2 linked regions of the Macaca fascicularis genome follow. The protein of the gene in region 1 interacts with the protein of each later gene in a biochemical or structural test. Links are inferred from orthologs where the notes say so. Each region holds a gene or a part of one and is shown in the gene's direction. Other genes may lie near its edges.

Evidence for each region.
Region 2: of the proteins of KAT2A (region 1) and H2BC21, one has a biochemical effect on the other in vitro, tested with the Homo sapiens proteins (2 studies listed by BioGRID). The link is inferred for Macaca fascicularis from reciprocal best matches to the Homo sapiens genes KAT2A and H2BC21.

Annotation. Positions count from the first base shown.
Region 1 is NC_088390.1:63,158,129-63,165,211, reverse strand, and holds part of KAT2A (histone acetyltransferase KAT2A), read left to right. Parts: intron 1-17; coding exon 18-107; intron 108-414; coding exon 415-596; intron 597-696; coding exon 697-888; exon of another isoform or gene 889-1,079; intron 1,080-1,729; coding exon 1,730-1,836; intron 1,837-2,041; coding exon 2,042-2,152; intron 2,153-2,245; coding exon 2,246-2,382; intron 2,383-2,463; coding exon 2,464-2,672; intron 2,673-2,898; coding exon 2,899-3,025; intron 3,026-4,189; coding exon 4,190-4,300; intron 4,301-6,026; coding exon 6,027-6,170; intron 6,171-6,458; coding exon 6,459-6,573; intron 6,574-6,668; coding exon 6,669-6,705; intron 6,706-6,785; coding exon 6,786-6,849; intron 6,850-6,983; coding exon 6,984-7,068; intron 7,069-7,083. UniProt on the Homo sapiens protein: Protein lysine acyltransferase that can act as a acetyltransferase, glutaryltransferase, succinyltransferase or malonyltransferase, depending on the context.
Region 2 is NC_088375.1:111,386,982-111,394,136, forward strand, and holds H2BC21 (histone H2B type 2-E), read left to right. Parts: upstream 1-3,467; 5' UTR 3,468-3,509; coding exon 3,510-3,890; 3' UTR 3,891-5,170; downstream 5,171-7,155. Other genes in the region: H2AC21 (histone H2A type 2-B), read left to right, coding at 2,233-2,625; H2AC20 (histone H2A type 2-C), read right to left, coding at 2,786-3,175. UniProt on the Homo sapiens protein: Core component of nucleosome. Nucleosomes wrap and compact DNA into chromatin, limiting DNA accessibility to the cellular machineries which require DNA as a template.

The DNA of each region.
Region 1 (7,083 bases):
CTTCCTCTTCTCTCTAGCTCCTGCGGAAGTGCATCCTGCAGATGACCCGGCCCGTGGTGGAGGGGTCCCTGGGCAGCCCTCCGTTTGAGAAACCTAATATTGAGCAGGTGGGATAGGGAAATTGGAGATAGCGGAGAGGAGAATTGGGGACAGCTTGGAGGAGTGGGGAGCCTGTGTTCTCCATCCTCCTCAAGCTGAGAACAGTGGGGAGGTTCAGAGAAGGGAGGGTGTTTTGTGCTAACCTCAGGGTGGGCATGGTGGTAGGGAGGGGGCAGAGCTTTTCTATAGAGAGCACCCGAGAGAGAGAGGAGAACCTTGTCCCTGGCCTCAGGGAGCCTCTTCCTTTGTCTAAGAAGGCCCTGCAGGCTGCTCACATCTCATTCCTGGTTTTGTTCCCCACCCACCCCTTCTCAGGGTGTGCTGAACTTTGTGCAGTACAAGTTTAGTCACCTGGCTCCCCGGGAGCGGCAGACGATGTTCGAGCTCTCAAAGATGTTCTTGCTCTGCCTTAACTACTGGAAGCTTGAGACACCTGCCCAGTTTCGGCAGAGGTCTCAGGCTGAAGATGTGGCTACCTACAAGGTCAATTACACCAGGTAGGCCCAGCCAGGGGCAGCTTAGGGGGAGGCTGGCAGGCCCAGCCTGGGTTCAGTGGTTTCCGCCCTCACCTGTCTCCCCCTCAACTCCCTACTCCAGATGGCTCTGTTACTGCCACGTGCCCCAGAGCTGTGATAGTCTCCCCCGCTACGAAACCACTCATGTCTTTGGGCGAAGCCTTCTCCGGTCCATTTTCACCGTTACCCGCCGGCAGCTGCTGGAAAAGTTCCGAGTGGAGAAGGACAAATTGGTGCCCGAGAAGAGGACCCTCATCCTCACTCACTTCCCCAAGTAAGGCTCCTTCTGGCCTATCAGGATTTGGCCCCAAGTTCACATCCTCCCTGTTGTCCCCTTTTTTCCAGGAAGGCTTCCTGGATTGGTCCCTCCTCTCCCTCCATGGGCCTTCTGGGATCTGGGCGTCTACCTGGCAGACTTGCCCATGGCCCAGAAGCAACTTGCTAGTACTAGTCTGGGGATGGCAGGTACATAGCCCAAGCTAACGCTGCCCCCACCCCACCCTACGCCCCGGTAGATGTTACTAATTGTTTCCCATGGGGGCCTGGACACAGCCTCAGACTCCTTCCCTGCACAGCTCTCCAAGAAATCAGAGCTTATGCTTGAAGTGAAACCAATTTCTACTCCTGTTCTGGTCTTTTCTGTACAATTTTCTTCTGTTCGGCCACACCTTTTAAAATCTGGGTCATAACTCCCCTGTTCAAAAAACCCTCACTGACGAATCCTGGCTCTCTAGTGCCCTCCGCCATCAGGTGGGAACAAGAGATGGCAAGGTGGGGTGGAGTCTGAGCCCATTGTGATACTGAGGGCAGTGAGGGGATTCAGGGTGACAAGGTGCCCTCCCTGGCCACACAGCACAGGATGACATCAGCTCAGACCTGTCTCCCTGTGCTACACAGCATGGTGAAACTGAGCTTCTTTGATCTCTGTCCTGGATGTGTCCTGTTGTCTTACCTTCAATTGGAGGCTCCCAGAAGACAGGGGCTGTCCCCTCTTTCAGGTCCCCAGTTCCCTAAGAGCAGGGTCTGCTCTGACCAGCCTCCAGTCCCTCTGCCGCCTGGCCCAGGCTGCACCCTTGGAGAACAGAGTTGTGGGACAGACTGTGTCCTCCCTACAGATTCCTGTCCATGCTGGAGGAGGAGATCTATGGGGCAAACTCTCCAATCTGGGAGTCAGGCTTCACCATGCCACCCTCAGAGGGGACACAGCTGGTACCCCGGCCAGGTATGTGCCATGGTATGCTCTGTAGGGTGTCTGGCCTGCCTGGCTGAGCTAAGCCTCCTGGGTGGAAGAGGGCTCAGCTGGGCCAGAGGCCCTGGATCCCACTGAGGGACCTGTCACCAGCTTCAGCCCTCCCGTCCCTGACTTCTCTCTCTCTCTGTCTCAGCTTCAGTCCCCCTGTCCCTGACCTCTCTCTCTCTCTCCTCAGCTTCGGTCAGTGCAGCAGTTGTTCCCAGCACCCCCATCTTCAGCCCCAGCATGGGCGGAGGCAGCAACAGCTCCCTGAGTCTGGATTCTGCAGGGGCCGAGCCTATGCCAGGTAGATACTTGATCCCTGACCTCTGACCATCATTCACTCCTTCCCAAACCTTTTTTTACTGATCCTGACCAACCTTGCCTGCCTCCGCAATAGGCGAGAAGAGGAAGCTCCCGGAGAACCTGACCCTGGAGGATGCCAAGAGGCTCCGTGTGATGGGCGACATCCCCATGGAGCTAGTCAATGAGGTCATGCTGACCATCACTGACCCTGCTGCCATGCTGGGGCCTGAGGTGGGCAGCCCGACCTGCTGACCAGTTGGGGGACCCCCACCAACCTGAAACCCCAGCTCACCGCCCCTCTTCTGTGCCCAGACGAGCCTGCTTTCGGCCAATGCGGCCCGGGATGAGACAGCCCGCCTGGAGGAGCGCCGTGGCATCATTGAGTTCCACGTCATCGGCAACTCGGTGACGCCCAAGGCCAACCGGCGGGTGTTGCTCTGGCTCGTGGGGCTGCAGAATGTCTTTTCCCACCAGCTGCCACGCATGCCTAAGGAGTATATCGCCCGCCTCGTCTTTGACCCGTGCGTCCCCCAGAGAGCCCCTCCCCCAGGGCAGGACCCCCGGGTCCCTTCCTCCTCGGCCTCTTGACTCCTCAAAATTGGAGATCCCCTGCTCCCCACTTCTGAAGTTCAACCTTTGAGCATTCTTATTTCTCACTGCCCAACCCTGACTACAGTTCAGACTTCCAGGGCTCTGGGGACCTGAAGGAAACAGGCAGGGGCTGTGACGTGCCCACCTCTCTCTTAGGAAGCACAAGACTCTGGCCTTGATCAAGGATGGGCGGGTCATCGGTGGCATCTGCTTCCGCATGTTTCCCACCCAGGGCTTCACGGAGATTGTCTTCTGTGCTGTCACCTCGAATGAGCAGGTCAAGGTGAGTGCCGCTCCCCAGCCCACGGCTCGCTCCGGAGTTTGGGCCAGCTCGGAGCAGCGGGAGGTGTGGGATGCAGCAGCCCCTTGCTCTTCTCTTAGTGGCCCGTTCCTCACATCCCCACAAGGTGGCAGCCGTACTTTGATAACTGTGGATTAGGAAACCACCTGTTCACAGACAGAGCCCAAGAAGCGGCCACGCTTTGGTGACCTGTGGACTAGGATTTTCTTCATCACAAGAACATTTACATACATGGGGGAATTAATTACTTTAATTTTTATTTTTTATTTATTTTTTGAAACAGGGTCTCTCTCAGCCAGGCCGGAGTGCAGAGGCATGATCAGGGCTCACTGCAGCCTTGACCTCCCAGGCTCAAGTGATTCTCGTGCCTTGGCTTCCCAAGTAGCTGGGACTACAGGCATGCGCCATTACATCTGGCTAACTTTTGTGTTTTAGTAGAGACAGGGTTTTACCATGTTGCCCAGGCTAGTCTCCAACTCCTGACCTCAAGTGATTCACCTGCCTCGGCCTCCCAAAGTGCTGGGATTACAGGTGTGAGCCATGGTGACCAGCCGAACTAACCGTTATTACAGTAGTCCTATGCTGATAGCCTTGGCTTCTGTCCTTTGTTACAACAGACCCCCTCGTAGGGTCGCTGGCTCTGTGTGTCACATACCTCAGATCTGCGTGGCGCATCGTTGGCCCTGATGTGTGGGAGCCATTGCTCCTGCTCAGGCCTCTGGTGACTCCCTCTCCCTCCTCTCCCAACTCTGAGGCCCAGGGACTGAGAATTGCTGGCCTGTGTTGGGTTTGGACCCGGCCCTGCCACGGCTGGCAGCCTGACCTTGAACGCATTTCCTAACATAGCTGAGTTTCAGTTTTCTCTTTTCTAAAATAGAGGTGGTACTACTCGCCTCTGGGGTTGAGAATCGGTCTGTAAAACAGGAAGCACTGCACCTGGCCCAGAGTGAGCTTAGAAAGCCTCTACCTTTCACTTTCTCCCATAAACTCCCCTCCCTCTGTCAGCTGCCTTTCTTTCTCTTTGCCTGGATGCTCTCCCTTTCCCCACCTCCTTTCCAATCCACCCGCTCCACTCTGGGCTCTGAGACCTCTCCAGCACCAGGCCCATCCTCAGCTCCTGGTGAGTCCTGCTCCCCTCCCCCACAGGGTTATGGGACCCACCTGATGAACCACCTGAAGGAGTATCATATCAAGCACAACATTCTCTACTTCCTCACCTACGCGGACGAGTACGCCATCGGCTACTTCAAAAAGCAGGTGACCCGTAGCCTTATCCCACACTGGTCCTTTGCCTGAAGCCTGGGGTCATTCTGTCCAGCCCCTCTGTTGATGGAGTAGGAGTCCCTTTATGTCCCCTACTTCACCTGACACCTGCCAGGAAAGTCTCCATGCCTATCTTCTTTCCTCTGCTGCCACTGCCCCAGGGGAGAATGGGGGCCTATGGGGCCAGTAGAGCAGGCTGGAGGAACTGGGGGGCCAGTAGAGCAGGCTGGAGGAATTGGGGGGCCAGTAGAGCAGCCTGGAGGAACTGGGGGACCAGTAGAGAAGGCCGGAGGAACTGGGGGCCAGTAGAGCAGGCTGGAGGAACTGGGGGGCCAGTAGAGCAGGCTGGAGGAACTGGGGGGCCAGTAGAGCAGGCCGGAGGAACTGGGGGGCCGGTAGAGCAGGCCGGAGGAACTGGGGGGCCGGTAGAGCAGGCCGGAGGAACTGGGGGGCCGGTAGAGCAGCCTGGAGGAACTGGGGGACCAGTAGAGCAGCCTGGAGGAACTGGGGGGGCCAGTAGAGCAGGCTGGAGGAACTGGGGGGCCAGTAGAGCAGGCTGGAAGAACTGGGGGGCCAGTAGAGAAGGCCAGAGGAACTGGGGAGCCAGAGCAGGCTGGAAGAACTGGGGGGGCCAGTAGAGCAGGCTGGAGGAACTGGGGGGCCAGTAGAGAAGGCCAGAGGAACTGGGGAGTCAGAGCAGGCTGGAGGAACTGGGGGGCCAGTAGAGCAGCCTGGAGGAACTGGGGGGCCAGTAGAGCAGGCTGGAGGAACTGGGGGGCCAGTAGAGAAGGCCGGAGGAACTGGGGAGCCAGTAGAGCAGGCCGGAGGAACTGGGGGGCCAGTAGAGCAGGCCGGAGGAACTGGGGGGCCAGTAGAGCAGGCCGGAGGAACTGGGGGGCCAGTAGAGCAGCCTGGAGGAACTGGGGGGCCAGTAGAGCAGCCTGGAGGAACTGGGGGGCCAGTAGAGCAGCCTGGAGGAACTGGGGGGGCCAGTAGAGAAGGCCGGAGGAACTGGGGGCCAGTAGAGCAGGCTGGAGGAACTGGGGGGCCAGTAGAGCAGGCTGGAGGAATTGGGGGGCCAGTAGAGCAGGCTGGAGGAACTGGGGGGCCAGTAGAGAAGGCCAGAGGAACTGGGGAGTCAGAGCAGGCCGGAGGAACTGGGGGGCCAGTAGAGCAGCCTGGAGGAACTGGGGGGCCAGTAGAGCAGGCTGGAGGAACTGGGGGGCCAGTAGAGAAGGCCGGAGGAACTGGGGGCCAGTAGAGCAGGCTGGAGGAACTGGGGGGCCAGTAGAGTGGCCTGGAGGAACTGGGGGGCCAGTAGAGCAGCCTGGAGGAACTGGGGGGACCAGTAGAGCAAGCTGGAGGAACTGGGGGGCCAGTAGAGCAAGCTGGAGGAACTGGGGGGCCAGTAGAGAAGGCCAGAGGAACTGGGGAGCCAGTAGAGCAGGCTGGAGGAACTGGGGGGCCAGTAGAGCAGCCTGGAGGAACTGGGGGGCCAGTAGAGCAGCCTGAAGGAACTGGGGGGCTCTTCGGGATGAGTCAGGAGTGGGCAGCTGACCTGGGACCTTTCCAGGGACAGTTCAAACCCTCAGTGCCCCAGGAGGAGGTTCAGGAGCAGGAGGTGTCACATGGCACGTGCCACCCCTCTGGTGCTCCCAGGGGAGGGACTACAGAAGTTGGGAAATATGGATGGACTGGGTCATGACCATCCACCCCCCAGGGTTTCTCCAAGGACATCAAGGTGCCCAAAAGCCGATACCTGGGCTACATCAAGGACTACGAGGGAGCGACACTGATGGAGTGTGAGCTGAATCCCCGCATCCCCTACACAGAGCTGTCCCACATCATCAAGAAGCAGAAAGAGGTGGTGTGCGCACGTGCGCATCTGTGGGAGTTTTCATGAATGTGCATGCGGAGGGCGAGCGCACGTGTGTAGACCTGTACTACGTGTACATGCGTGTATGTGTGTGAGTGAGGAGGGGACAGGCCAGGATCTTGGTTCTTGCTCTGCTCCCTTGGGGAAGGTATGAAGGGAGGTGCTGGATTAGGTGGCATTGCATCTGGGTGGGTGCAGCTGGTGGCTCTGACTGTGGCCCTGGGAGGGGTTGTTGCTGGGGCTGGAGCTGGCCCCTTAGACCCTTCCTTCCCTCAGATCATCAAGAAGCTGATTGAGCGCAAACAGGCCCAGATCCGCAAGGTCTACCCGGGGCTCAGCTGCTTCAAGGAGGGAGTGAGGCAGATCCCTGTGGAGAGTGTCCCTGGCATTCGTAAGCAGAGGTCTCGGTTGCGGGGTAGTGGGGGCACGCTGCTTGGGATGCGGATCGGCATTCTTAGAGACATTCTCCCACTTCCCACTTTGCAGGAGAGACGGGCTGGAAGCCATTGGGGAAGGAGAAGGGGTGAGTGTTTTGTCAAAGGAGCCAGGTTGGGGGCGGGGCAGAGGGACTCGGAGCCTCAGACTTGGTGTGTCTCGCCCCAGGAAGGAGCTGAAGGACCCCGACCAGCTCTACACAACCCTCAAAAACCTGCTGGCCCAAATCAAGGTGGGGAGACCAGGTTGCCTTTCCGGGGCCCCTGCACCAATGGCTGTGGCCTCTTGATGCAGTGTGAGGTGGGTGGCGTTCTCGGGCTGGCGTGGGTGCAGCAGGGCTGTCCCCAGCTCGGCTCTTCTCTCCAGTCGCACCCCAGTGCCTGGCCCTTCATGGAGCCTGTGAAGAAGTCGGAGGCCCCTGACTACTACGAGGTCATCCGCTTCCCCATTGGTGAGGACCCTCCAT
Region 2 (7,155 bases), on another chromosome or scaffold:
CAAGGACCCTTTTCTAGTAGGCCAAACTTTGCCTCTGCCAGATATATTTTATTGTTGGTGAAAACATAACATATTTCTACTACAATTGCCACCTGTTTGGACTCTATGTAGACTGCACCTTTCTGTTAACATTCATCTTCTCAAATGATATAATCAATTGGATTAGAAGGATCTTAGGTTACACCCTTGTCACCTCTGTCTGAACTTTGGTGTTCCCCAAATCTATACCAGCATTCTTACCAGGAGTAATCTCTAGACGTAGCTGATTTTAACTAATTTAACTCTCAGAGTTCACCAGATTTCCTCCATTTTCTGGAGGCATTTCATCACAGACTTGTTTGTACTACTTTCAATTATCTATACACCCATTGCCCAACAGCACACATCCAATAAATGCCAGTTGAATAAACTGGTGAGAATAAAGGAGGAAACATCAGAAAAGGTGTCAAAGAATAAGATTTAAGTATTTTCTGGCCGGGTGCAGTGGCTCACGCCTGTAATCCCAGAACTTTGGGAGGTTGAGGTGGGCAGATCATAAGGTCGGAGTTTGAGACCAGCCTGGCCAACATTCGAGATTTGAGATCAGGAGTTCGAGATTAGCCTGGTCAACATTAGTAGAGATGAAACCCCATCTCTACTAAAAATACAAAAATTAGCCGGGCATGGTGGTGGGCGTCTGTCATCCCAGCTACTTGGGAGGCTGAGGTGGGAGGATCGCTTGAACCCGGGTGGGTGGGGGCGGGGTAGAGGAGGTGGTGGTGGAGGTGGCAGTGAGCTGAGAAGTGCTCCAGCCTGGGCGACAGAGCGAAACTCCGCCTCAAAAAACCAAAAAAACCACAAGTCTATTTTTTCTCTCTATTATTCTACCTGACCTTAAGGGATACTAAGGAAAGGGTGAGAATGGTGTAGGAGATGTAGAACTCCCAGAGATGGGACGTTGAGGAGGAAGAAACACAAGAGCTTTCAGATTCATCTGTTATATGGGATAAAAGAAAAAAAGAAGAGCTTTCAGGAAAGATTTCTAAGGCCGCTGGAGTCACACCAGCAATTAATGCCTGACAGCAAAGTTACCCTTTCCCGGCTGTTGCTGAAATCTAAGGGATGATGATGAGGTGGACAAGGGAGCGTGGAGAAAAAGATTGAAGGGATATTAAGGAAGCAACTGACTGGACATGCTGAGACGAAGGGAAGAGTAGAGTAGATTTCGGCTTAGTTATCTGTAAGTATGCTGGCGCATTTCAGGAAGAGGGCAAAGAGGGGAGGTTGTTTGCAGGAGTTCGCGTTCGAATAGGCTGAGGTTGAGTTTGAGTTTGAGGTGCTCGTTGGGACAAGTAGTAGATTGAAGTATTCAGTAAGCAGTTAGGCACAAGGGTCTGAGCTTCTGAAACAAATTTGGATGTTAGTTGAAAGCATATAAATGGGTAAGACTCTTCGGGATAAGTGAAGAATTGGAGATAGAGAAGCAGAATCCAGCTGGACTCGCAGATTTAGAGATGGCATGGGGAAGCAGGATAAGAAAAGTCGGCGAGCTAAGAAGAAAAACGCAGGGCGACATTTTGAAAGCCAAGGGAGTAAGCTTCAAGGCCGCCTCCTGGAGGTCAAGAAGATGACAGATCTAGCCTTGGTCAAACTGAATTCCAAGGAGTGCAGGCGGGTGGGGGTGGGGCGGAGTCGCTGCGGGCGACTTAAGTTGAGGGGCGAGAAAGGAGGCAGCCTTAGTAGTACTTGTATTTTTAAAGGGAATTTGGCTGTGACGAGACAGAAAGGGCGGAACTTAGTAGTTTAGAGCTCAAGGGGATAATTGGCTTCAGAATCCCCTACTCTTGCGTGAGAGTAACTCTCAGTCTACGGATGTCTTCTGCAGTTTCTTAGGGTCCATGTTGGGATTTACCGGCTGTAAACTAAACAAAGCAAAGCAAAACCCCATAGTACAAGACATTTTGTTTGAAAGCCTACTTTCTTTAAAGATCCTGCCATGCAAATAAGGGGCTTTAATGTGGCTCTCAGCGATTGGTAGATACTTACGAAATCCGTCATTTCCTTTCAGGGCAGGATGCAAACCAAGAGGCGGCTTTCTGTTTTTCTATTGGCTGTTGGATACGGCTCCGCTTTTAGCCAATCAAACGACTTCCCTTCACCCCTCCCGGTAGCTCTTATAAATTACATCAAATTGGTTATTCTTTCCACATTCTTCTCCTTGTAAAAGAAGCTGTAACTGCAATTTTAGCCGTAATGTCAGGACGCGGAAAGCAGGGAGGCAAGGCCCGCGCTAAGGCCAAGTCGCGCTCGTCCCGCGCTGGCCTCCAGTTCCCGGTGGGGCGAGTGCACCGCTTGCTGCGCAAGGGCAACTACGCGGAACGGGTGGGGGCAGGCGCCCCGGTGTACCTGGCGGCGGTCCTCGAGTACCTGACCGCGGAAATTCTGGAGCTAGCAGGCAACGCGGCTCGGGACAACAAGAAGACGCGCATCATCCCTCGCCATCTGCAACTAGCCGTGAGGAATGACGAAGAGCTCAACAAGTTACTCGGGGGTGTCACCATTGCCCAGGGCGGCGTCTTACCCAATATCCAGGCTGTCCTGTTGCCCAAGAAAACGGAGAGTCACAAGCCTGGCAAGAACAAGTAATTAAGAGGCTTGACACCATACTCATTCACCCCAAAGGCTCTTTTAAGAGCCACCAAAGTGTCAAATGAAGGGCTGATCACGAAATAGCGCATTAGCTCTTTTTTTGAAAACTTGGGTGGCTCTAAAAAGAGCCTTTGGTCTTTGGTTTGTTTGTCTGCATTTATTTGCTTTTGGCTTTGTGGCTTTCAGTTTTCTTTGGTAACAGAACGGCCTGGATGTTAGGCAAAACGCCGCCCTGGGCGATGGTGACTTTGCCCAGCAGCTTGTTCAGTTCCTCGTCGTTGCGGATGGCCAGCTGGAGGTGACGAGGGATGATGCGCGTCTTCTTGTTGTCCCGAGCCGCGTTGCCCGCCAGCTCCAGGATCTCGGCGGTCAGGTACTCGAGGACCGCCGCCATGTAGACTGGCGCGCCAGCCCCCACCCGCTCCGCGTAGTTGCCTTTGCGCAGCAAGCGGTGCACTCGCCCTACCGGGAACTGGAGGCCAGCGCGGGACGAGCGCGACTTGGCCTTGGCGCGAGCCTTGCCTCCTTGTTTGCCACGACCAGACATGACTGAAACCAAGGTTAAACACAGACAATGCTCAGAACCTCGCTACAAAATAAGCTTGAAAGAGAACCAAGAGGAAAGCCTTTATAAGCTTTCCTAGGGGTGGGGTCTAGAACGAGTTTTTCATTGGTCCTAATATGGCTTCAGAACCGGCCAATCAAGTCAAGAGTCGGTGTTGTTGCGTACGCATTGCTGAAAACGCAAGGTCCGCACACGGACCAATGGAAATGAATGACTTTCGGAGCCCTAATTTGCATAAGGTGGTTATAAAAGAATCAGGCCCGCCCATTCTCTTACTTCTTTTCTTGGCTAAGCCGCGTTTGTACTGTGTCTTACCATGCCTGAACCGGCAAAATCCGCTCCGGCTCCTAAAAAGGGCTCCAAGAAAGCCGTCACCAAAGCCCAGAAGAAAGACGGCAAGAAGCGCAAGCGCAGCCGCAAGGAGAGCTACTCCATCTACGTGTACAAGGTGCTGAAGCAGGTCCACCCCGACACCGGCATCTCGTCCAAGGCCATGGGCATCATGAACTCCTTCGTCAACGACATTTTCGAGCGCATCGCGGGAGAGGCGTCCCGCCTGGCGCACTACAACAAGCGCTCCACCATCACGTCCCGCGAGATCCAGACGGCCGTGCGCCTGCTGCTGCCCGGCGAGCTGGCCAAGCACGCCGTGTCCGAGGGCACCAAGGCAGTCACCAAGTACACCAGCTCCAAGTGAGTCCCTGCCGGGACCTGGCGCTCGCTCGCTCGAGTCGCCGGCTGCTTGACTCCAAAGGCTCTTTTCAGAGCCACCCACCTAATCACTAGAAAAGAGCTTGTTCACTTACTCCCTTAGTTTCTTCTCATAAAGTAATTTTAGCGTAAAGGTCATGGGAAATGCCACACGTAGGTTTTTAACCATTTGGAACTTGAGGTCCCCGGTGCATGATTGGATTTGCTTTTGAATCTAGAGCGTGTCTTCACTCATTGTGCTGCTTAGCATTCCCAGGAGTCGGTTCTCAATTAGGATGTTGGGAATCCGCCTCTTTACCCGCCCCCACTCCCGCCCCACACTGGCGCCCTGGTGGCTTCTTGGGTCTGTTTCATTCTAAAACGAAGTGGCTGAGTTCGGCTGTTATTTAAGAGAACTCCAGGGCACGATTCAGCCCAGGTTCCGCAAACACTGCGTGACAGCTGTGTATGACTGACGCTTGGCAGCACCTTTTGTGTCCGGTCACCAGTTCTGCTGTGCGATGGGGTCTCCTGTGGATACCAGCCGTTCTGTGTATTTTGGACGAAGCCCGCGCAGCCGGGTCCCAGCCTTTTCCTGATTGGGCGACATGAATATTCAAAATTCTGCGCCTCTTTCTAATTTGTAGATTTCAGTTTCCGTCGTTCACTTTGAGACTTTGAAATTCCTATTTCTCGTTTTGTTGATAATTTTTGCATTTAATGGTCTCTGCTTTAAAGGGTAAGGCTGCGGCCCCAGGTCACTGCGAGGCACTTACCGTGTAGATACGGGCTCAAAAGTCACCTGTCAGAGATCTACGTCATCCACTAAGGAATTCGCGCCGCTCATACTTGCCTGTCTCATTTTATCTTCCTTCTAGCAGCTGTCTGAAATTGGTTCGTCTGTTTTCTTGTTTATGGTATTCTCAAGCCCTTGACCGGCTGGTGTGGTTTTCCCGTGCATCTTCAGCCTGGCACATTATGGACACTTACCTAAATACTACGTATTGATGTAATATTGTTGGGTTAGTTTTTCCATCCCATCGTTTTCTTAATCGCTTTCGTGGATGGATGATGGGTGCTGTTCATTTCCGTTAGATGTATGTGAAGGCACGGTGAAAATGGAAATGTTTTTGGAGCTACTTCCTCAAATGTGTCCTTAGTCACCTCAGTGCAACAGCTGGGAGGGGGCCGTGTTAAGATTTTTTTTGCATCAAAGAGGAGGTGGCAATGGTAGATCCACCCTTACGCTTCCCAGTTTAGCATAACCTCTTTTGGATTTTCATCAAATTCAGCGTATTGGTCACTGGAAAGAGCCTTTTCCTTCTTTTCTTACTCTCCCCTCTTGGTGTTCCCCTCTTAAAGGAGAGGAGCTTTTAATTGACAGTCATCACCTCATTTTTTTTTTTTTTTTTTTTTTTTTTTTTTTTTTTTTTTTTTTTTGAGACGGAGTCTCACGCTGTTGCCCAGGCTGGAGTGCAGTGGCGCGATCTCGGCTCACTGCAAGCTCCGCCTCCCGGGTTCCCGCCATTCTCCTGCCTCAGCCTCCTGAGTAGCTGGGACTACAGGCGCCCGCCACCGCGCCCGGCTAATTTTTTGTATTTTTAGTAGAGACGGGGTTTTTTTTCACTGTGGTCTCGATCTCCTGACCTTGTGATCCGCCCGCCTCGGCCTCCCAAAGTGCTGGGATTACAGGCTTGAGCCACCGCGCCCGGCCATCATCACCTCATTTGCTTTCCAGGAGGCCATGCAAGATAGGCAGGACTACAGGGTTAATCTCCTTTTTACAAATGAGGCCAAGGGAAGCCTCATTGGTTCACAGTCATGCAGCTCATACTGTCCACCCTTGTATTCTCAGATGCAGGACAATTGCATTTTAGTTTTATTTTGTGGAGGTACAGAATATTTACTCTTTCTGTCCAACCCTTGATTCTGCCGAGGAAGACACTGATGGTTTGATGAGTGATTCAACTCTGTTTTTGGCTAAGGGTTTTGGAGTTGATAGCAGGGGTCTGATGAATCCAAATGAGCTCTAGACATTATCACAGACTGAATAAATCTTTTTTTTTTTTTTTTTTTTTTTTTTTTGAGACGGAGTCTCACGCTGTTGCCCAGGCTGGAGTGCAGTGGCGCGATCTCGGCTCACTGCAAGCTCCGCCTCCTGGGTTCACGCCATTCTCCTGCCTCAGCCTCCTGAGTAGCTGGGACTACAGGCGCCCGCCACCGCGCCCGGCTAATTTTTTGTATTTTTAGTAGAGACGGGGTTTTTTTTCACTGTGGTCTCGATCTCCTGACCTTGTGATCCGCCCGCCTCGGCCTCCCAAAGTGCTGGGATTACAGGCTTGAGCCACCGCGCCCGGCCAGACTGAATAAATCTTAACTGTCTCCTACATGTGTGTTTTCAAATGTGTGTAGATGCTATTGTTATTAATAAAGTTACCAATTAAAGGCTTTGCTGGATTCTTTTATCTACAGTATATATTTCTCAATGAAGGAAATTAACAGATACAACTTACACAGGGTCTATAGAAAAGCATGGGTGCCTCTGATCTGGGGGATGACTATTTATAAGCCACCAGCCAAACTGCTGCCCCAAAGGTGCACTAGGGCTGAAATAGTCGCTTACAAGGCCACTGTTAATGCTTAGTAATTGAAAAATATATGATCACAAATAGAAAGCAGTACAAATAAGATGGAAGAACTAAAGTTCATAATGAAGTTAAGCTAACACCTACGGAGCACTTACTGTGTGCCAGGTAGTGTTCTAGGCCCTTTATACATATTGACTCATCTAATTCTCACCAGGACCTCAGGAAGTAGTACCATTATTATCACCCATTTTACAGATAAGGAAACTGAGGCAAAGAGAAGCCTTTCTTCAGAAACTCTCCAGAGGATAAGCTCCTAGGTTAGCAGTTAAGGGACTTGAGAAACAGGGTCATTCTGAAAACCTGGACCCTTCCCTGTGTTTTAGGGGGAAATATCTATGCTTTAGAATTGAAAAGAAATATCACTGGTTTTATTCTCTTCTGAGTGCACGCTGGATGTAAATCCTGGGTCGTGGTGGCTGAGTACATTGAGGGTGGGATTAGGTGGCTGTGAGCCTCCATCCCAGAAGCCATAGCTCAACTCAATTGAGTTTGTCCCCACAGTGGTGGGGCTCACCAGCTGGAATCCTTTCACTAACATGAGAGAACCTTAGTTGCTGGTTTTGGGCTCCTCCTGGGGATGATGTTCACTGGGAAGGATGTTACAGAGTGAGGAAGGGGGAGGAG